Schizosaccharomyces pombe: one gene and its partners. The protein of the gene in region 2 interacts with the protein of the main gene of each other region in a biochemical or structural test. Each region holds a gene or a part of one and is shown on either strand. Other genes may lie near its edges. The genes, in order: pom1, pal1 and kin1.

What was found.
Region 1: of the proteins of pal1 (region 2) and pom1, one has a biochemical effect on the other in vitro, tested with the Schizosaccharomyces pombe proteins (2 studies listed by BioGRID).
Region 3: the proteins of pal1 (region 2) and kin1 form a complex in vitro, tested with the Schizosaccharomyces pombe proteins (one study listed by BioGRID).

The regions. Positions count from the first base shown.
Region 1 is NC_003424.3:532,522-539,816, forward strand, and holds pom1 (DYRK family cell polarity protein kinase Pom1), read right to left. Parts: upstream 5,353-7,295; 5' UTR 5,205-5,352; coding exon 1,941-5,204; 3' UTR 1,599-1,940; downstream 1-1,598. Other genes in the region: NLI-interacting factor-like phosphatase Psr1, read right to left, coding at 1-888; mediator complex subunit Med1, read left to right, coding at 5,874-6,107, 6,154-6,801, 6,844-7,295. UniProt on the Schizosaccharomyces pombe protein: Polarity factor involved in localization of polarized growth and cytokinesis. Forms an intracellular gradient that serves to measure cell length and control mitotic entry.
Region 2 is NC_003421.2:2,395,218-2,400,663, forward strand, and holds pal1 (protein Pal1), read right to left. Parts: upstream 3,043-5,446; 5' UTR 2,932-3,042; coding exon 2,767-2,931; intron 2,521-2,766; coding exon 1,408-2,520; 3' UTR 979-1,407; downstream 1-978. Other genes in the region: arrestin family membrane adaptor Mug170, read left to right, coding at 1-107, 146-395, 454-785, 831-879; acyl-coA-sterol acyltransferase Are2, read right to left, coding at 3,738-5,156. UniProt on the Schizosaccharomyces pombe protein: Involved in cellular morphogenesis and cell wall integrity. Important for the maintenance of a cylindrical cell shape.
Region 3 is NC_003423.3:2,692,050-2,699,236, reverse strand, and holds kin1 (MARK/PAR-1 kinase Kin1), read right to left. Parts: upstream 4,906-7,187; 5' UTR 4,070-4,905; coding exon 1,394-4,069; 3' UTR 1,109-1,393; downstream 1-1,108. Other genes in the region: ATP-dependent RNA helicase Mak5, read left to right, coding at 1-265, 303-948; emp46 (lectin family glycoprotein receptor), read left to right, coding at 6,065-7,187. UniProt on the Schizosaccharomyces pombe protein: Has a role in establishing the characteristic rod cell shape. Important for cell polarity and is involved in directing growth to the cell ends.

The DNA of each region.
Region 1 (7,295 bases), on a different chromosome or scaffold from region 2:
CATATCGTTGAACCATGAAGATATTGGAACAGCATGCGAAGGATGAAATATGTAACTTGAAGGTGAATTGTCTATTATTATCGAATCCTCAAGATTACGACCAAGCTGAGATAAATCTTTTACGAAGTTTCCTTCATAATTACAGCAAGCTTCACGAAAAAGACGATGACGAATGACATGCGAATGATCAAGCATGTCCAAAACAGGATCGGCATATTTTGCAAGAGAAGCTGTAAAAACCACTATTTCAAACATATCACCCATTTTCTTCAAAAATTCATCGACACCTGGGCGTTTGACTACACGAACATCATGCTGTAATCCATCAATTTCAATGGAAACAACGAAATCAGCTGGTTCAATGTATTTGAAAGAGGAATGAACTAAAGTCTCATCCAAGTCCAAAATAAGGCATTTTTTCCCTTCATCTTCTTTTGCTATGGGAGGTAAAAGCCAGTTGCCCTCTCCATATCGCTTAACTTCCGGTAACGGGGGATCTGCAAAGTCGATGGGTTCTGTTGGTTGTTCACCAAAATGAACATGGCTATCTATCATGTCCCCTTGCTGCGCAATATCTTGTTCATTTGTAGTTCCATTGGGACTAATTGCTGACTCCAAAGAAATAGAAGTTCTTGCAGGTGTCGGTGACTCAAATACCCTTTCGGGACCGTGATTCGTATGTACAGATTCTGAGCTGCGCAGTGTACGACTTACCCTACGCGGTTGCACGACTGAGGGTGCTTTTTTAACAGGCTTAGCCGGTGTGTAAGTAGGTTTCTCATCAATAGAAGCATCTTGAAAGCAAGAACATAAATTCCCAAAAAGTTTTTGAAAAAAAGAAGGCTCTCGTTCACGTTCAGGTGAGGGTTGGGTTTTCGTTGATTTCATTTCTTTTTTAGGAGTTGTTTTCTCAAAACAAAAGTATAAGGATTCTCTAGGATAGCTATTGATTAAATAATTAATAAAATTTTAACTGAAATTGAAAAGTGAGGGTGTATTGTGAATAAGGTCCACAAATTCGATATTATTTTTCTTGTCTTTAGGTATGGCTTTATACGTATAATTTCATCGTTCCGCCTTTTCCGGGATGGATTTCCATTCAAAACAAAACAATGGAGAAAGCTATTTCAGATAAAAAAAGGCTTAAAGCTGCTCTTGGCCAAATTCAACCGTGGTCGTTGAGTTCAAAAACTACAATGCGAATAACGAGCTGACTCCCGCTATAAACACGTAAACAATATAAATTACTAGTGACCTTTATTACTACCTTAATTTATTATTTTAATTTTCTATTTATCTTTTTTCTATTTCATTGTTGATAAAGAATGCAATCTTTACACTATTAGAATAGTAATACACGTGAACTGACTAATGGTCCAAAGGAGCAACCCTGGAATCAAAGGATAGACGATTTGAGTTACTCAATAAATAAACGAACGATATAAAGCAAAGATAATTATAAGCACACTAACTTGAATACTCGTGTCCTGTGTGCTAAACCCTTTTTACTTCACACTGGTATTGTAAGTAGTAGCATGAAGTAATTACATTAATAGCAGATAACGGATTTTTAAATGGAAAATATAACTAGCATGGTTGACACGTTGTACTAATGCAATCAACGCTCATTCTAATATTTCACATGAAGTTCAAAAAACACTTAATAAATTATGCATAGTATTGCTATAAGTAGAAAGGAGCGTATGAGTGGTAAATATAAACAAATATCCTTCATGAGGAATAAAATAAAATGGTAAGTATTATCTAAACATATTAAGTCCAGCCTTGTAAGAAAGAAAGTAGATAGAAAAAGGAAGAATTACTAATAAAATGATGTAAAACAGTACTTGAAATGGAAGGGTCAAATTAAAAAGAAAAAAAAGTTGATGTACTTGAAACGCAAGCAAAAGGTTTTCAACCTATTCCAAGGTAATGTGTGATCACGGCCGGGATTTCTCTACCGGCTTTCGTAAAAAACCATTATCTGAAATTATTGAATAATCTAAATTTGTCAAAAGATTGGGGAATTTGTCAGAAGAGCGAACAAGATTAGAAGCTTGGTTAGAGGGCTCTTTCGGGGAAGGTAAGGTATGGTCATTGTATTCCATTGGCAAATTCGGTAAAGGACGCGGAATTGGAGCTGTTTCTATATTTGGGGGTCTCGCAAATTTCTGACGAGCTGGCGCAGTGTTAGGTCTTCTAACATCTTGCTTTCCAGTAAGAAAATCATGTTGAGCAGCTTGCTGTGGAGTCATTCTTTCATCAGGATCCCATTTTAGACAGTCAGATATAAAACTTAAAAACGAAACGTCTTTGCATTGCAATACTTGATGAAGGGACTTGCTAAAAGGACGACGGCTTACTCCTTTCGATGATACAAATGGTCTTGGCTTTCCAGATGAGTCAAAAAACACCTTTTTTCGTGAGCATTTGTCAATCAACGAATGATCAGGTGGTCCAAAAATTTCCATAATGCAAGCGAGTTGCTCTTGCTCGTTTTCACCAGGAAACAAGGGAAATCCAGTGTACATTTCCGCTATTATGCATCCAAGGCTCCAAACGTCTATTGGTGTACCATAACCCATACCCAATATCACTTCTGGAGAACGATAAAACCGAGATTGAATGTATGTATAAACGCATTCACCTTCAAAGCAGCTACTCCCAAAATCAATCACCTTCACCTGTGATTTAAATGGGTGGCATAGTAAAATATTTTCGGGTTTCAAATCACAATGAATAACGTGCTTTTCATTTAAAAGTGTTAAGCACTGAATAAGTTGCCGTGTTATGCTTTTAATGACTACTATTGGAAGTCCTTTAAACCCATTACTTTTAATTAACTCATAAAGGTTTTTACCCAATAATTCAGTAGCAACGCAAAGATGATCGCGGAAATAAAAGTGGTCAGTATATTGAACCATACAGTACTCATCCAATGGGTCCCACTCGCGGATTTTTTGTAAAATTTTTGTTTCGACGAGAGCTTGCATATGAAAGCGTTTTTTATTACGGATAATTTTCAATGCAACAAGTTTTCCAGTTTCGTAATCAATACAACGTAGAACCTGTCCAAAACTCCCCTTCCCTAAGAAATCCACAACTTCGTATCGATAAGCAATATGGTCTCCTAAAACAACCTTGTAATCTCCTCTTTCGTCGTCAAACCCAAAATTCGAAGAGGTGTTTTCATCAGCTGACCGACGTTTATCAACGTTTCTTAACCCAGTAAAATATATGTTATCGTAGTTGTTTATTTCATCCTGCTCATACTCCGTTAAAGGAGCGGTGTTGATCAATTGAACTTCCGTGTTTCTGACAGGAGTTATTATACAGGCTCGGTCAAGGAGGGACTGCATAACTTTTGCATCGTCAAGAAGCTTATTAATTCGTTTGCTATTAATGGCCTTCATAGCTAAATCAGCAACCTTACGATCAAACGGTTCTGACAACACATTTGAAGACGCAAAAGATAAGGAAGGCTGTAATGATTCACTCGTATCAGAACTCCTTTTAGGAGTATACGAAACACTTCGTTGCTGAGGTACATGTCCTTTATCTTTAAAGTTTGAAGGTAGTGGAGGAACTGAAGGAATTTCCTCGGGCTTCTCAGGTTCACGGGAAACCTGAGAACGCGTAATCGAAAGTCTTGGAACAGGGGGAGGTGATGCAGAATCACTATTACCGTTAGAGCTTCTTTCTTTGGATGGTTTGAACCAGTTAATAAATTGCTGCATCCGGCTTTTCGTTCTCGTAGGAGTTTTCTTTCCATTCCGGTAGCTAGATTTGGTAGAAGAATCAGCTATGTAAGCATGTGGTATTGCCGGTACGTCAGGGGCATCCTCGTGTTTAGCTTTACTTCCTTTCTTCATACGAGAAGAACTTCTCGAAAAACTCAATCTGCTAAAAAAGCCACCTCTTGAAGATCTACCTTCTTTGTTGGAAGATTTCTGTGATTTAGACTCATTTTGGACAGTATTCCCATGTTTAGCTTCATGGTTACGATGCCCATCAACGTTTGTCTTCTGAGAAACCGCTTTAGGAGCAGCTTTCGGATCAGGATTTCTACTGTCGGGATGAACTTGAGATGATGTAGTAGTATTATTGTGATTATCGGATGAAACAGGTTTGTTGTTATCGAAGACAGAGGGGGTAGCAAAAGAGTGTGATTTGGTTTGTGATCCTACATGTGAGTGATTATTTTTAACATTAGAAAGGGTTATTTGACTATGGGGGGAAAGTTCTTTGAAAAAAGAATTGGATGTCTTCAAAGGGGATTGGATTGTAGAAAGATTCTTCGATTCTGAACTTGATTTCGTAAGGGATCCAGATATATTTGCTTTAGGATGTTGGTGATCAGTGGAATGACCTATATTAGGAGGAATAGTTGGAACAGGAGGAATTCCAGACTTATTTCCAATAGAAGCTGCTCTGGGATGTGAAGTAGAATGGAAGTTAGTATGACGCCAACTACCGGATCTCTTTGGAGCCATTGAAGCATGGTATGCATGGTTCCCCGAGGAAAAAACGCTAGATTGTAAAGGAACGGATGATACATCTTGTGTAATAGATATAACCCCACTCAAATGCCCCCCATTATTTTGCTGATTCCAATCACTAGGCTTTGATGAACGATTATAATATGATAAGGAAGTTCCAAAACTCTTAGAGTTCGATATTGAAGATGTCCTATGATGTGAAGAAGTATTCAACGACGAAGGATTGTTCTGCTGAGATGACTCGAAATCGATTGGGTTATTACCAATACTTATGTTTGACAAACGGTGTATGGAATTCCTCGGACTGTTTTTCTGTCTATAATCGTGATCAAAACTACTTCGGAGTAAACCATTGCCAGTCGAGTGGTGTATAGTAATAGCATGATTATCCATAGATGAACCAACTCCCTTTGGTTCAACATTCATAAATAACTCATCTTTATGCTCTTGTTCCGGAAAAGAAATGTTCGTATTTGAGGCATTCGTCGAAGGACTCGTATCTGCTGCTGTACTGCTAGAACTCTGGCGGTTTGGACAAATATCGTTGGAATAACTACCAACGGCAGAAAGTTCAGATGGGTTTAATAGTTCAGATTTTATTCCGAACATGTTTGCGCTTTTCCGGTTTGATGTATGAAGTTTAAATAATGCATCCGTATTTTCGTCGCCCAGAGAAACCGCTTTTTGGGACTGCAAATAGCCCATTTGCAAACTTTGCTTCAAAAAGCCAAAATTCTCACTATATTACGCTTTTACTGGCTTTTTTGAAACAAAATATTGTTTCTATAAGCTCCCTCCTTCAGTTACAGTCTCTTATCTTCTTTAAAATGCAAACTAGTAGCAGTACGTTCGTGGCTAATTAAAGCCGCGCTACACCCTGCATATCAATACCAACCACTTCTGAAAGGGCACGCAAGCTGTAAATGAAACATAGAACGCTTATTGATTTGTGCACAAATTTTACCAAAAAGAAAATATTTTATTAAGATTTACTGCATATATATTTTGATGCTTTAAAAAGAGTTTGAGTGAACATACTTTGGGTTTTTTTTAGTCCAAGGTTTAAAATTGGTTTTCATTTGTATACATATAAAATTCCCCATAACTACTGTTTTAACCCTCGTTATAAAGATAAATCAATCACACAGACCTTCCCATTGAAACTAAGTTTTAGGCGGTTCAAAATTACCTACTTGTTTTTGCAATTAATGCGTTTCTAGCAAATAGTTTGATGGCAGTAAAGGCTTCCTTTTTGCAGAACAAATTAAATTGCTCGCTGAACAGACATAAAATTGCGCTTATATACAGTGTTTTAAGCTGATTAAATACGAAATACACGACTAATTTACTAAATCTTCTTTAATAATCTTTTCGATGGATAGACCACATCTCTTTTCTGAAGTTCATTTCCGTCGAAACGCCTCTAACCCCAATCAGATTAACTGGACGCGTTATTGGATTGATTGTCTATCATCAGTTCCTTGGAATGATATCTCTGTAACTGGATTTGAATATTTGGCTAAAAAGTATGGTCTGGAGGTTTTTCAAGACTCCTCCAAACCCAATGAAGTGGTCCTCAGTTTAGCTGGAAAAATAATTTTGATCGACGTAAGTTTAAATCCTGTACATAACCGTTTTACTAATTAGTATCTAGATCACTGTTCCCATAAATGCGTCTCCAAAAGATATCAACGTTGTTTTGGCTTTTGCAAACGCTAGTGGTGAGCAATATAATAATCCTGTTGCAGAAAAATTACTTAAGGATGCAATTTACAATTGCAATACCCCACTATTTGAAAAGAATGTCAAATGGTTGGCTACCTTTGATCACTCCTCTCCTTCGGTCCAACAAAGTTGTTTCCAATATTTAGACTCACTATCCTCTTCTTTAAATGCTATTTATGAAGCAGAATTATCTTTGCTAGCACAAGAAGAAAATGTTATAATGCATGGAAACGGAAAGCCTCTCAGTAATTACGAAGGACAACTTGGTTTGCGTATTGTATACTGGAAGCTTTTGGATAAAACCTATAGCACTCAAATTTTTATGGATAATTTGTCTCATGAGTCGCTACCTCACTTGTTATTCGGATATAATTTATTAAATTCTCCTCCTATCCTCCAATCATCAAAAATTAATTGGGCACTTGAAAATACTTTGACACCTATTCCTACAACAATGGAACTAGTTTTTGATGATATCAATTTAATAATACCAGAGCAGGGCGTCAAACCTTTACTTGATTTGCTTCATGTCCATGACATTACCATTCCTTGGCCTGTCCAAAATTATAGTCATATGGTAAGTACTTTCCCTAAATATCAACTTAACTAATTTCACCAGCTTGGTTTACCTTCAAAATCAACCGTGAACTACAAATTCATTAATAAAAATCAAGCCATCCAGCTAACAGGGTTCGATGTTTCCGCACGTTCTTTGCGTCACGTACCGTTTCATCATCCCAAGCAAATTCGAGGAATACTTGCTATTGTACGCCAATATTTATTATTACAATTGATTTTGGAAAATATCAAATCAGCAGATTTAGCAGAGACTGCGGCATCTTCCTCCCTTCACCTCTCTCTATATTTTAAGGAGCATCCGATCGTTCATGCCCAATATCAAGAAATCAACAAACTGAATAATTCCGAACAAATTATCATTGTTCTATCCGTATTGTCAGATGGAAGACTGAATGTTGATTATATGTCTAGTGGTGGCAAAGAATTGTCAAAACAACAGTCTCATGTTTTTCAAAAACTTATACAACAAACATGTAACATCGGACTTGCGAT
Region 2 (5,446 bases):
AAATGTTCTTGTAAAGTTGGGTTTCCTTTCTCCTTCATCGTTCCTTTGGATATAGGTCCAGGTACTTATCATTCATCGAAATTAGAACTGTTATACTATATTTCAAGGTAAAAGATTAAACCGAAAAAAGTAACTGACATCTTAGTACGCTGACTTTAACATCTCTGGATCAAAATATTCGCTGTACTCGTTGTACAATTCCTAAACGGGTAATCACTTCAATGCATAATAATATAGCGGAGCTATATAACCCGATCTCATGCATTAAAAGCCTACCCTATCTTTCATTAGAAGAAGCAAAAACTACCTTGGAGGTTCATACGGACAGATCCTTGTTTTTTAGTGGTCAAATCATCGATTTTACCATTTGCTACACTCATAATCATCACAGAAGGGTAAAGTCTAGTAAATTAATTAAACTAAAGATAACAGTTAATCGCTAACTCTCAAAAGATTCATAATATAAAAGCACGATTGCTGGAAACTCATATCTTTCACCCTAATACTCAAAATCATTACGGTGGTTATTGTATGAACCAGGCCGAAGAAACATTCGCGAGTTGCGGATACTTGAAGCGTTATCAAAAAACTAAGACGAAAACAAGGGCAAAATCAACTTGGAAAATTGCTAATAAATCTGTTTATTCCAATTTGGCACCGACTCTAAAAAACACAATCCACGCACAAATCAAAATACCTGAATTTTGCCGTTCTGTTAATTTAAAAGATCAGCTGAAAATTGATTATACCCTTGAAGTTTGTTTCTCAGCATTTTTTAAACCAAGGTATGTAATCCAATCATTGTTTAAGTTCACACGCTAACAAGATAGAATTTTATCAATACAAATTCCTATAACGATTTTACATTCCTGGAACTAACATCAGCTACCTATAACATGCAGAGTACGCTTCTATATATCTACTGCCAATTCACTTAGTGAAACTAGATTGTAAATGAACGAAGACTGCATTGTAGAAAAAATAGAGATCATGATTAAATTACTTAAAGTAGAGAGCAATCAAAATATCACCAGGTGAAAAAATTTCGAAAGAAGGAAAATGTAAAAGAAAAGCATCTGGATTTGTTAAAGTTATGCAGAACAAGTAGGCATGAAAAATGTAGACTTCAGACGAACTAGTGAATGTCGAGAAGAAGCAAAAGAGAAAAGGACAAGATGCGAAATATTAGGACAAAAACAAAGAATGGTAATAATAAGTATGCGGAAGATTAAAGCAGAAACTTCCAACAAACTGGACGAAGAATTGAACTAAGCTGATTCAATATTTAAAAGCAGGGGTACAGACGTATTAGATGTTGAGAAATTGGTAAACAAATAAAAAGGGGAATAGAGAAAGATGATACTCAAAGATGCTATTATAGTAAATAAAGTTTCAAGCCTGAAAAGCCTACGACTTTTTGTGGAATAATCGTCTAAAAAATCCCATTTTCTTGGGTTTGGAACGCTCTTTCGCAGTAAGCGGAAGAGACATTTGAGATTCAGCGTGTTGGGGATAAGGTCGTGTATTAAGTCCACCTGTTTTCCTACGAGAAGGTGGCGGTGGAGCAGCTGTAGGAGATGTACGATTACGAAGGCCAGTGTTACTGTCATCAGTATCAGATTCGTTCTCGTTAGAAATGGGGTCAAGTTGAGAAGGGGAATTAAGTGGAGATCTTCGGGTTCCCATGGAAGAGTGAGACCGATAATTAGATGGCCTATTCAAAGTATTTGGTGTACGAGACATCATACTAGCGCTACGATTTAATCCAAGTTTTCGAATGAGAGAATTTTTTCTTCCCAAGCCCGCTTTTTCCATTGCCAACATTTCTTCATTACGTGCAATTGCATTTTTTGAAGCCATCGCACCTTCTATACGGGTAGAGTCAGTTAAACCTGGAGTATCATTATTGCCAGATGAAGGAAATTCTTCTTCGATGCCAACAGATTTATAAGGAGATTGCAATATGTTTTTTGTACGCAAACTCTCATGAATGGCTTTTCTGCTAAAATCCTTAGGGACTGAAGGGTCATTATAAGTTTCCCCAACTTTCGGAATGGAATTAGCAATACTATCTTTTGGAAATGCGGCAACAGGTGCTTTCTTAGAATTTCGATTACGATGAGGTCGACAAGCATCAAAAGGACCATCGTGATGAAAGCTACCAGATCCATAAAGCCCTGTTACGTCCAAACGATCTATCTGATCTAATGGTTCTTTTGACGACCGACCAGGACGATGTGATCCCTCTCGTACAGACTTGTAGCGTCGAATGCTACCCCTGCTTTTCAAACTGGATTGGGTGGATGGTGAACTGTCGTTATGCGATGGAGAACGATGGCGACTAGAGCTGGCAACATGAGTACTACGAGCTCTAGCAATTTTCGAATATCTTGGAGGGGGGTCAAAAGTGCCCATCGAACTGTTAGATCGTTCGGCTAATGCCTCCGCAGATTTTTTAACGGGACTTGCTGAAGCAGAGGAAGCAGGAGATGGCTCCTTCTTCTTTTGAATACTATTAAACTGGTAAAATGTTAGTTTTTGAAACATATTAAAATTGAAAGCTGTGCTCGATTTTCGGCTCAACTTCATTGCAAACCGAAGAAACTCCTTGTCTAAATAAAATGTACGTTATGAGCGCTTTAAATTAGAAACTTAAAAACTCTTAATAGAACACTAATTTGGAAAGGTTTCAATAAATTTAACAAATCTTCACGTAACGAAGCAATGACCGAATTATATCTACTTCAGCCTCAAAAATTTACATACCAAGTCATCTGCCATAGATTCCATGACCGGATCAGCCACACGCTCTGTCTTGGGAGCTAAAAAAGGATTGTTACTGTTGTGCAGGGAAGACGTGTACACGCCATCCTCTTGAGGTGTCTGACTGCTTGTAGCAGTACTTAAAAAAGGGTTCTCTATTACCATCATCCCGTATTGCACCCAAACGATACCCTTGCGATTTCGTTTTGAGAAAGAGCACCTTGAAATACACAAGAGGTTTTTCCGAATCAAACTTCGAACTACAAGATATGGGTTCTTGGTGAGTTGGGATTCCAGTGGTAAAAATATCTACCCCTGCTTATAGGCAATTTACTGTACAGTGCTATTGCACATTGGGTTGCGTTATCTAGGTTTCTTGCTATAATAATTTTATTGTGCAAGACAGAAAAGTACATTTATTAAGAATGGGAAAACTGAATAAATCGAATATCCTAACCACTGACGATTAGACACATTAATTCGATTAATAACAGTGATGGTTATGTTAATGAAAATACGAGATGAGGAAACTTATTAATCAAAGCAATCATCTGGCTAAAAATTAAACGAACATCTGTGAATGTTAAAAATCTTAAGTAAACAACAAATCGGTTAACATAATTTTCAACGAAAAAAATGTTTTAAACCCATTTCTTTAATTCGTTAATTTAATCAGGATTCCATTTTATCATAAACAAGCAAATGAACCGACACAAAATGAAACGGAAGTTCCACAGAGGCACAAAAACTAAGTTTTACCAAAATTACTCTGCAGCCTTTTGACGTGTTCAAATAGAAATGGCATTTCCTACTTGCATTACAAAACAATTCATAAAATGTCATAAAGGAGCCCTTATTGGGCAGATGAAATGAGCCACAAAAAGTGTCAAAGATAGAAATAGTCACTAGAAAAAATAACGCATTGTAAAAAAAATCTAAGAGGTAATTATTCATAATGGAGACCCCTATCGCTTCTAAAATAAGATATAAAGAGCTGCAATAAGAGCGATACCAATTATGATAGAAAACCAAAACGCAATATTTCCCAGCAGTCTATGTCTTCGAACAAACTTCTGTCGCTGAATAATGATATACGGGATTTGAGTCATTTGAAAAAACAAACCGTAACCGCGGATTTTTAAAGTGATACATCCCATAACAAGTTCATGTAATACAGAGGAGACAAAGAACGTGAAAAAAGTCGATAAAGACTTTGACATGAAAGAGTTGAGGGGAACATAAACGTGGCGAAGGAGAAAGTAATGAACGGGCTTATTCCAGGTTCGGGCAAATTGATCCCAAGTCCAGCAATTCCACCAATCATCATAAAAGTTTCTATCGGCAAATCTAGTAATCTCTGCGCTGAAATTACAAACTCCTTCAAAAATGACCCAGAACACGAGGAGGAAGCTAAGCATAAATGGGAACATCAAAAATGCTACAGTATGGCCTAAACGTATAGCAAAATAAGTAGCAGATGCGTCTTCAGGAGCTTCAATAATGGTTCGAATGGCTTTAGCAAGTACAGGAACCATGAAATGATCAGAAATAATGACCAAAAGAAAGATACAACCAAACGTTCCCAAAGCGCATTCAATCAAATAATGAATTCGCACATGGGCGGTTCTTGGGTAGTATAATTGATAACATAAGCTGGGCATGAAAAGGAAATCCAAAGCATTTGGTATGGTTAAATTTTCCGGATAAGTATTACCATGATGGTTGAGACAATGTTCATAAAACTCAACTGAGGATCGTTCATCATCATCAAGATCGGTTTTTTTTGACTGAAGCTTATTTAACGAATGATAACAATAAGAATACCAACCGTTGACAACGTTATAGGAATGAAGCTTCATAAGGATTACCATAGAATGAAGAATAAACATAGCACGATGCGTCCAGGACCAGTTGCTAAGACAGCAGCGTAAAACACAATGGCTTAAAAAAAGTAAAATAAGAATGGAATAGAGGTAAACGCCTAAACCATACCACCGCAGATATCCCAAAGCAAAAATCTTTTGGAAAGGAAAAGCAAGTAGAAACATTGAAGACATAGCAAGGTCTGCCTTTGCCAGATCTAACAAATTAGACTGAAAGTATTTAAAAATAGTGCCAACAACTGGTCTTCCAGTCAATTCGAAATTTTCTAAAAAGCTCATGAAAATCATAATAGAGACAGCAACCCAAAATAACACAAAAAATCCAGTAAAGTCTACCGCATTACGTTGATAATTACGAGCAAAAATCGAGGGAGTAGGAGATAATTCCAGAGGTCGGTAAGCGGCCCTAGACCTTCGAAGGTCAATTTTTGAGGTTTCAGAAACACCTTTGAACGTCTGTTCCAAGTTGACATCCGATGGTTTGGATTTAGCGGGTGTTGCAGCAATCATCTTTAAATAACCAGCAATTAAAGCAACTAAGTGAATATATAACAAAAAAGATAAATATATAAAGAAAAAGATAAAACAAAAAAATAACGTAAAATCAGCAGCTACGTATCGCGAACAGTATCAAAGAAATTGAAAAAGAAGCGGATATGAACGTAGGAAGATTAAATTTATTTTTTGCTTCGCTTCTAAATAAAAAATTGAGGAATGAAAGCAAGAAACTTAGAAATGTAATCTATTGATGGAAGTTCCAACTTGGAATTTCAAGATGACAGAACTGGTATGACGAAAAC
Region 3 (7,187 bases), on a different chromosome or scaffold from region 2:
TCTTTGGCAAACCCAAATTTTTGGATGCCAATCCTCAAAGTGCAGTGGCAAGCCGCGTATTAGAAGGGCTCATAGAGTGTGCTCCAGCTGAAAAAGACTTGTATCTTTATTATTTGATCATGCGTTATCCTGGAAAAACCATGGTTTTTGCCAATGGTATTGAGGATATTAAGAGAATCACTCCTTTTCTAAATGAGTTAAAAGTTCCATCCTATCCTCTACATGCTCAATTAGATCAGAAAAAAAGACTTCAATCTCTTGAAAAGTAAGTTATTTTTATTTATATGTTACTAACTAACAAGGTTCAAAAATAATCCTAAAGGAGTCCTTGTTTGCACTGATGTGGCCGCCCGTGGTATTGATATTCCTAGTGTTACGCACGTAATTCATTATCATGTTCCTCATACAGCTGATATGTATGTTCATAGAAGCGGTCGTACCGCTCGCGCTAACGAAGATGGCGTTTCAATTTTAATGTGTGGTCCTAAAGAACTGTCACAGCTGAAACGACTATGTTATCGGTTGAAAAAGAAAATCGAGACCTTTATTAATTTTCCTGTGGATATGTCAATATTGGACATTTTAAAAACGAGGGTCGTCTTAGCACATAAAATTGTAAATCTCACTAGAAAAGACGGAAGAGTGGGACGTGAGGAAGCTTGGTTAAAATCGATGGCTCAGGAATTGGGAGTTGAAAGTTCTGATGATGAGGATCCGGATTTGCCAAAAAAATCTGAATCTAGTAAGAATAAGAAACAGATAGCGCATCTTCGCTCAGAGCTTGCTCCCTTATTACACGAAAAAATAAGAACAGGATTTTCTGGTAGATACTTGACGAGCGGTCTTGTAAATATGGCTGAAAAATTAGCCAACGAAGAAGTTCATGATAATATTATCGGAATGGACTCAATTAGTGCTTTGGAAGTTCTGCAAAAAAGGAAGAAGTAAAAAAGGGTTTTTACTTAGCTACTTTTCATATAGCACGGGTTTTCATTTAGGTTTTTATACAATGGTTTTTTGGTATTTTATAGTTATGGGTTAATAATAATATTACTGCTAGATAAGTATCAACAAAAACGTCGTATTAGACTATATAAGTGAACGAATTACTATAAGATATATCATTAATTATAGTAGCCTTATGTATCTGGCTTAAACATAAGCGAACGAGGGTGCATTTACACGTTGACTTTACATGCCTCTGGCATCTGTTTGCTTTCACAGGCAAGAGCATTAGAGGTCTAGTTTCTCGTCTCTAAAAAAGCTCAACGTCTAATATAGTTCAACCTGAAGCGGTCTTAGTATTAAAAACCATAAACACTAATTAGGTGGTCATAACGTAAAATGAAGTGAAATAAATAATTTCAAAAAAGTATGCAGCTTTAATAGTCAATCACAATTTTAATTCGTTAAGAATACGACTAGCCAATGTCTTATATTGCCATGAGTTTCCACTAATTCGATGAAAAGAAACGCCACGAAGAGAGAGTATAGGGACTTTCACAATATATATTTCAAAGGCAAGGTTAGAGGCAGGCGACTCACCATTGTCATCTAATGGGACTGTGTCCGGCACCGATCCATAAGAATCAGTGGTAGAATTAGAGCCATAAGAAGGCTTACGTCGTGTATGAACAGAAGTCGATTTTGTAGGGGTTCGGATACCCTGAGGTTTATATAGACATGCATAACCACCCTTGATCTCTTTATACTCAATATCAAGCATGCCCATTACCCGAATAAGATCTCGTTGAATTGACTCAGTACTTTTAGTCGATGTAGTGGAAACACTGAACAAGCCTTTAAGGAAAACAGGCTTTATAGGATCCAATTTATCCGTAGATTTGGATGGGGAAGTAGAGTTCTTGTCCACCGGATTGCCCATCGTTTCATTAAGGATTTGCTTTTGGCGGTTGGTCGTAGAAGTTGACATCCGCCCATGCCCCAAGGAAGCACCACGAGGATTAAGTACACGATTATTACGAACCGACGGAGGTGCATTTGCCATATTGGATGCAGAGGGCCCTGTTGAATCCATGTTTAGTGAATCCATCTGACTGGAGATACCAGCATAGCGGCCCTCACGAACAGAGGTTGATCTTCCAATAGCAGATTGGGTAACAAGTTTATTCTTGTAAGATACTGGGGGCTTGTGAGACGGCTTGGTTCGAGGTGTTGGTGGAGATTGTGAGGTCTCAAGGGGAGCACTAATTTGAAGAGTAGATGTAGAAGACTTATTTTGTTTTCGGCGTGATGAAAACCTTCTAAAAATGCTGGATGGATTCTTTTTGATGGAGGAGGTTGCTGAAGGAGAAGGGGAGTGAGATTCCGTATCAGGCAAAGGCTTTCTGCGTGCAAGTGATGTGTTTCGAGAAACACGAGGTGATTCTTCGTCGCCTTTGTAGGCAACAACTTCCGGCATTGGCGGTAAAGTACGATTATAACTAGTTGGCTGAACTGGCGAAGAAGGAACGCTAGAAACTGGTGTTTTTGCTATCCTATTCCAATTTCCACCTTTTTCATATACACGACGTTCAGAAACTAAATAATAAATTGAAATGAGAGGATGAAACGCATCATAAATATCAGTGTTCATTGAAAGAGATGGTAATATTGGATTCTCGATATCATGCGCAGCATGCCTAATCCGGAATTCAAAGAAAGACTTTTTCTTGTCAGCTGAATTAGGCCCGGAATAAAATCCAGTTTTAGCTAAAGATTGATAAGCTTCACTGCTAATTACCTTAGTTAATTCACGAACAATTTTTTCTGGTGGTCCAAAATCAAAACCGTTCATTTCCCTAATAATTTCAGGATCTAATGGAAGAGTGATCGGAGATCTTTCCGGAGCAAACGAAGCTGGAGGTCCTTCATAATTGCGAATCATCCAAGGATGGTTCAAAACTTCTTCAAGCGTGGCTCGCTTGAGAGGATCAGTAACCAACATTCTTGATAGTAAACCTTTACAATCACTACTTAAATAACTTGGATACTCGACGGTACCTTTTTTTATTTTCGCATGCAAGGCAGACATATTTTGATCATCAAATGGCACTTTTCCGCAAACAAGAACGTAAAGTACTATTCCAAAACTCCAAACGTCTACCTCTGGACCAATGTACGGTTGAGCATTCAAAAGTTCTGGAGCAGCAAAATATAATGAACCACAAAACGTGCGCAAGCGAGACTGACGTCGATACAAATTTGAAAGACCAAAATCGATAATTTTGATGTCACCGGTCTTCGAAATTAAAATATTTTCAATTTTTAGATCTCTGTGCACCACAGAGTTTTGATGCAAATAACTCAGCGCACTTCCAATTTGACGCACAAATTTTCGAGCTTGCTTTTCTTTTAATTTTCCATGTGAAATAATATAATCCAGCATTTGACCACCGTCGACAAATTCAAAGACCATATAATAATGACTATTAGTAATATAAACATCTCTTGCCTCGCAAATATACGGATGACGGAGCAAAGTAGATAAGGCAGCTTCGCGAACAGTACGAATTTCCTTGTTTTTTTCTGATTGTGCTGCCTTAGTAGCCTCAGCAGAAGCAGCAGCTTTTGCCTTCGTTATGTCTGGATGAAGACGGGTAACTATTTTAATGGCAAACTGTTCACCTGTTTTTAAATGATGCGCAACTTTAACTTTCCCCATGCTACCAGCCCCAATGGTTTTACCTAGTACATAATTGCCTATGACTTTTCTTCTTTCACGAGGCTTCTCGTCAGCGCTATAAGAATGCCCAGATACAGGTACTCGCAGGCTATGATCCCGCGTACGAGAAGGAGATGCTGGTAGCGGTTTTCGACTTGATGGAGACCTTACGGGGCCATGATGTGGAGACTGAGAAGAAGGAGAAATATACCCAGGAGAAAAAGATAAACCCAGAGGCTCTACAGCGGATTTTGGTTGTGTAGAATAAGAAGGAGATTGCATAAAAGCATCCACCAGGTTGTGATGACGGTTGGGCGAGTCAGATATTTTAATTTTCGGCAACGCATTTAAAGCGGCAGACTTTGTCTCATTACCGACGGGTACGTTATTGGTACGGTACTCCATCAGGAAATGGGATCAACAGACAAAAAAGCAGATATAAAATTACTGCTTGAACTTTTGAGAGGCAAAAATTAGCAATCAACTCAAAATAAGCCGACTGAGTAATGTAATAAAATAATAACTTTGTGAAAATAATACAAACGTGTAAATCTTGGTTGACAAAAAATACTTTGTTATCGTAAATCGTGGCACCAGTTTCCTTGCGAACCTAAGATGACAAATATTACGAAAAAGCGTGAAATCCGAAAAATTAAAAAGAAAACAATAAAGGGACGAAGAAATTCTTGTACGAGATGAAAACAAATAAGCAAAGCGATCTAGTTACAAGAATGCTCGTGGCTTAGAAACGGATTAGTAGTCAATCAATATTGTTTGTGAAAAGAAGGATGCTCACAAGCCGATAAAGCCGTTTCTACAATCAAAACAAATAAGCAAAGCTTGAAAAGATAACAAATGAGATTATTAGAGCAGCAGGAAGATGGAAGAAGAACAGGTAAACCGGCTTAGCTTTTTCGATGAACAAGATAAACGACCAAAAAATATAGTTGTTTCGATAATTTTCGGTCGTAAAAACTCTTGTTTGAGAAATTCTAGTATAAACAGGTCTCCTGTTTCTTTTATTGAGCAACAGAAAGTCAAACGACTTTGAGATTTTCCCGCAATTTGTTTCCTGTCTAACAACCACTGCAAATCTATGCTACGTCCCCTAAGGCATTCAATATCTCTTCAATTCTTTCCTTTCAATTAAATTATTACAAAAAAAGGAAATGAAGCCAGAAACTGTAAAGGAAGGATTCCCTAACCCAAATGCACTGGCTTTGTTGTTGTACGGAATGGTTAAAGCAGCAGTGGAGATGTCATGGATGAATGCACCATGCTAAAGCATTCATTACGTTTAGTATCGATTTATATAGAGATAAGACTTCAAAATAGCCTACCAGTTACTATTTTCTTAAACTTTTATTTTTTTAATCTATTTCATGTATTTATCGACTTGTATTTTCCTTTCCCACACACCCTTTTAAAAGATCACGACTGCTATATACCGAGGCGCAAGCATGCTCCTTTATGGTTATGAGAAAAACATGGTATCTAAAAATGGATTTAGTATGCAGCAAACGACTCAATTGAAATTGTATACTTAAATCTTTTAAATATATGCGTATTCAAAAATACAATGAATAAATCACCATCACAGTTTCCTCATAAATGAACAAATACGCGTGTGTTTTTACATTATTCATACATCTGAATTATCGTGCCAAGTCAAAACTTTTTAAATTAACGAAATATTAAAGTTACTCTAGAGTTTTGTTTTAAGTATTTTTCATGTCTCTTAAGCTTATGAAATTTATTTCGATGGAACAATCAATTAATTTTCTTAACGACTAAAATTAGTCATCGACCATGACGGTACTCTTAATTCATTGATTGTTTTTTTGTTTTTTTAGTCACAATTTAAAAAAAAACAAAAACTGGTTTCTGTCTCTGATGTGGAGTAGAGAAATGGTCTTTTTTACTACATTTATTGCTTGTTATAATCATTAAATACACTTCGCATTGAAAAGTTGCATTGCACACAAACAATGCTTTCGAGCAATTAAACCAATTCATATACAATTTTACTGCAACATCCATAGTTGCTCAGAAAGCTGCCATGTTTAAATATAGGGAAGTCTAACATTACTCGTTAGGTGACTTTCGAAATATCATCCTTATTTACTACGATTGAGTTGGCGGTTGTTGTCATTTCACATTTACGGAATTTTGTAGATAAACTTTCTGACGGTAACTAATAAACCAAAAATACATCTATTTACTTTGGTTCCCGGTAACTAAAGGATTTAAGGACTGGAGTAATCTTTTTCTATAAGTAATAGAGCAAAAAGTCCCTGGTCTTAACCAAATAATCCTTTCTTTCAATTTCTGTTTCTCTCTCTTTTTTTTGGCATACTTTCACAATATTCATTTATCTATTTTTAAACGAAGTAAAGAAAAATGAAGTTTTGCTCCCTGTTTCATGTATTATCGTTTTGTTGTACATTGGCTTACGCCGTCCCTAAATCTCAGTTTTTGCAACTTCATTCACTAAGTAACGCCATTCCCGTTGAATGGAAATGGTACGGTAGTGTGGATGAAGATTCAGGTTACGTTTACTTAACCAGCAAAGACAGTAATGAAGCACGCTCTGGATCCCTTTGGTCAACTAGCGTTTTACGACAAGTTGGCTGGCAGCTATCGACTTCATTTGTAGCTCATGTATCAGAGAACGAAAACACCTTTTTTGCGATTTGGTATACAAGCGCTGTCGGTTCAGAAGGTCCAGTTTTTGGCGCCTCCGATAAGTGGGACGGCCTTCTGATTTCCCAGGAAATCGATCAAACTGGTAAAATCTTTGTTCGTGGCTATTTGAATGATAAAAGTTTTGAACTTGCTCAGTTTACTGACCCCGATCTTCCGCCCTTTGCTAAATGTACCATTGAGAGCTCTCCTGAGGCTTTGAACAATATTATTCTCAAATACGGTGACCAATCTGGATTAGAGTTATTTGTGAATGACAAGCCCTGCTTTCAAGTAAAAGATGTCATTTTGCCTCAGGGGTATTATTTTGGAGTTTCCTCTCAATCTACGTCTGCAAAAGACTTGGTGGCTTTATCGAACCTCAATATACTTCCTCCAGATACATCTAATAATGAAAATTTGAATCCTACCTCCAATACAAAGCAAAGCGTCGGTGACAATACTAGTCCTCAAACAGTTATTGACACTGAAGGTTTGAACGCAATAAAGGCTGATTTGGCAAAGCTTTTTAATCTAGTAGAATCTCAACGCCAGAAGATGGACTCTTTGCATTTTGCGTTGACTAATGCTTTGGAGCGTTTGAACGATATTTCTTCTACTTCACAGTTCCCAAGTGAAAGATTTAATGCCCTTGAAAAATTGCTACATGATTCTCTATCTGCGCAATCTTCCACTGCAGATGGTACTTCTAAACATTTAGCAGAATTTGAAAAGGAGATAAAAAAGGCAATGGGAAATGCTTACTCGCCATATAACTTGACAAACTTTATGGTTTTCTTGTTATTGGGTGCAATTGTATCCTATGGTATAATGTTGGTTC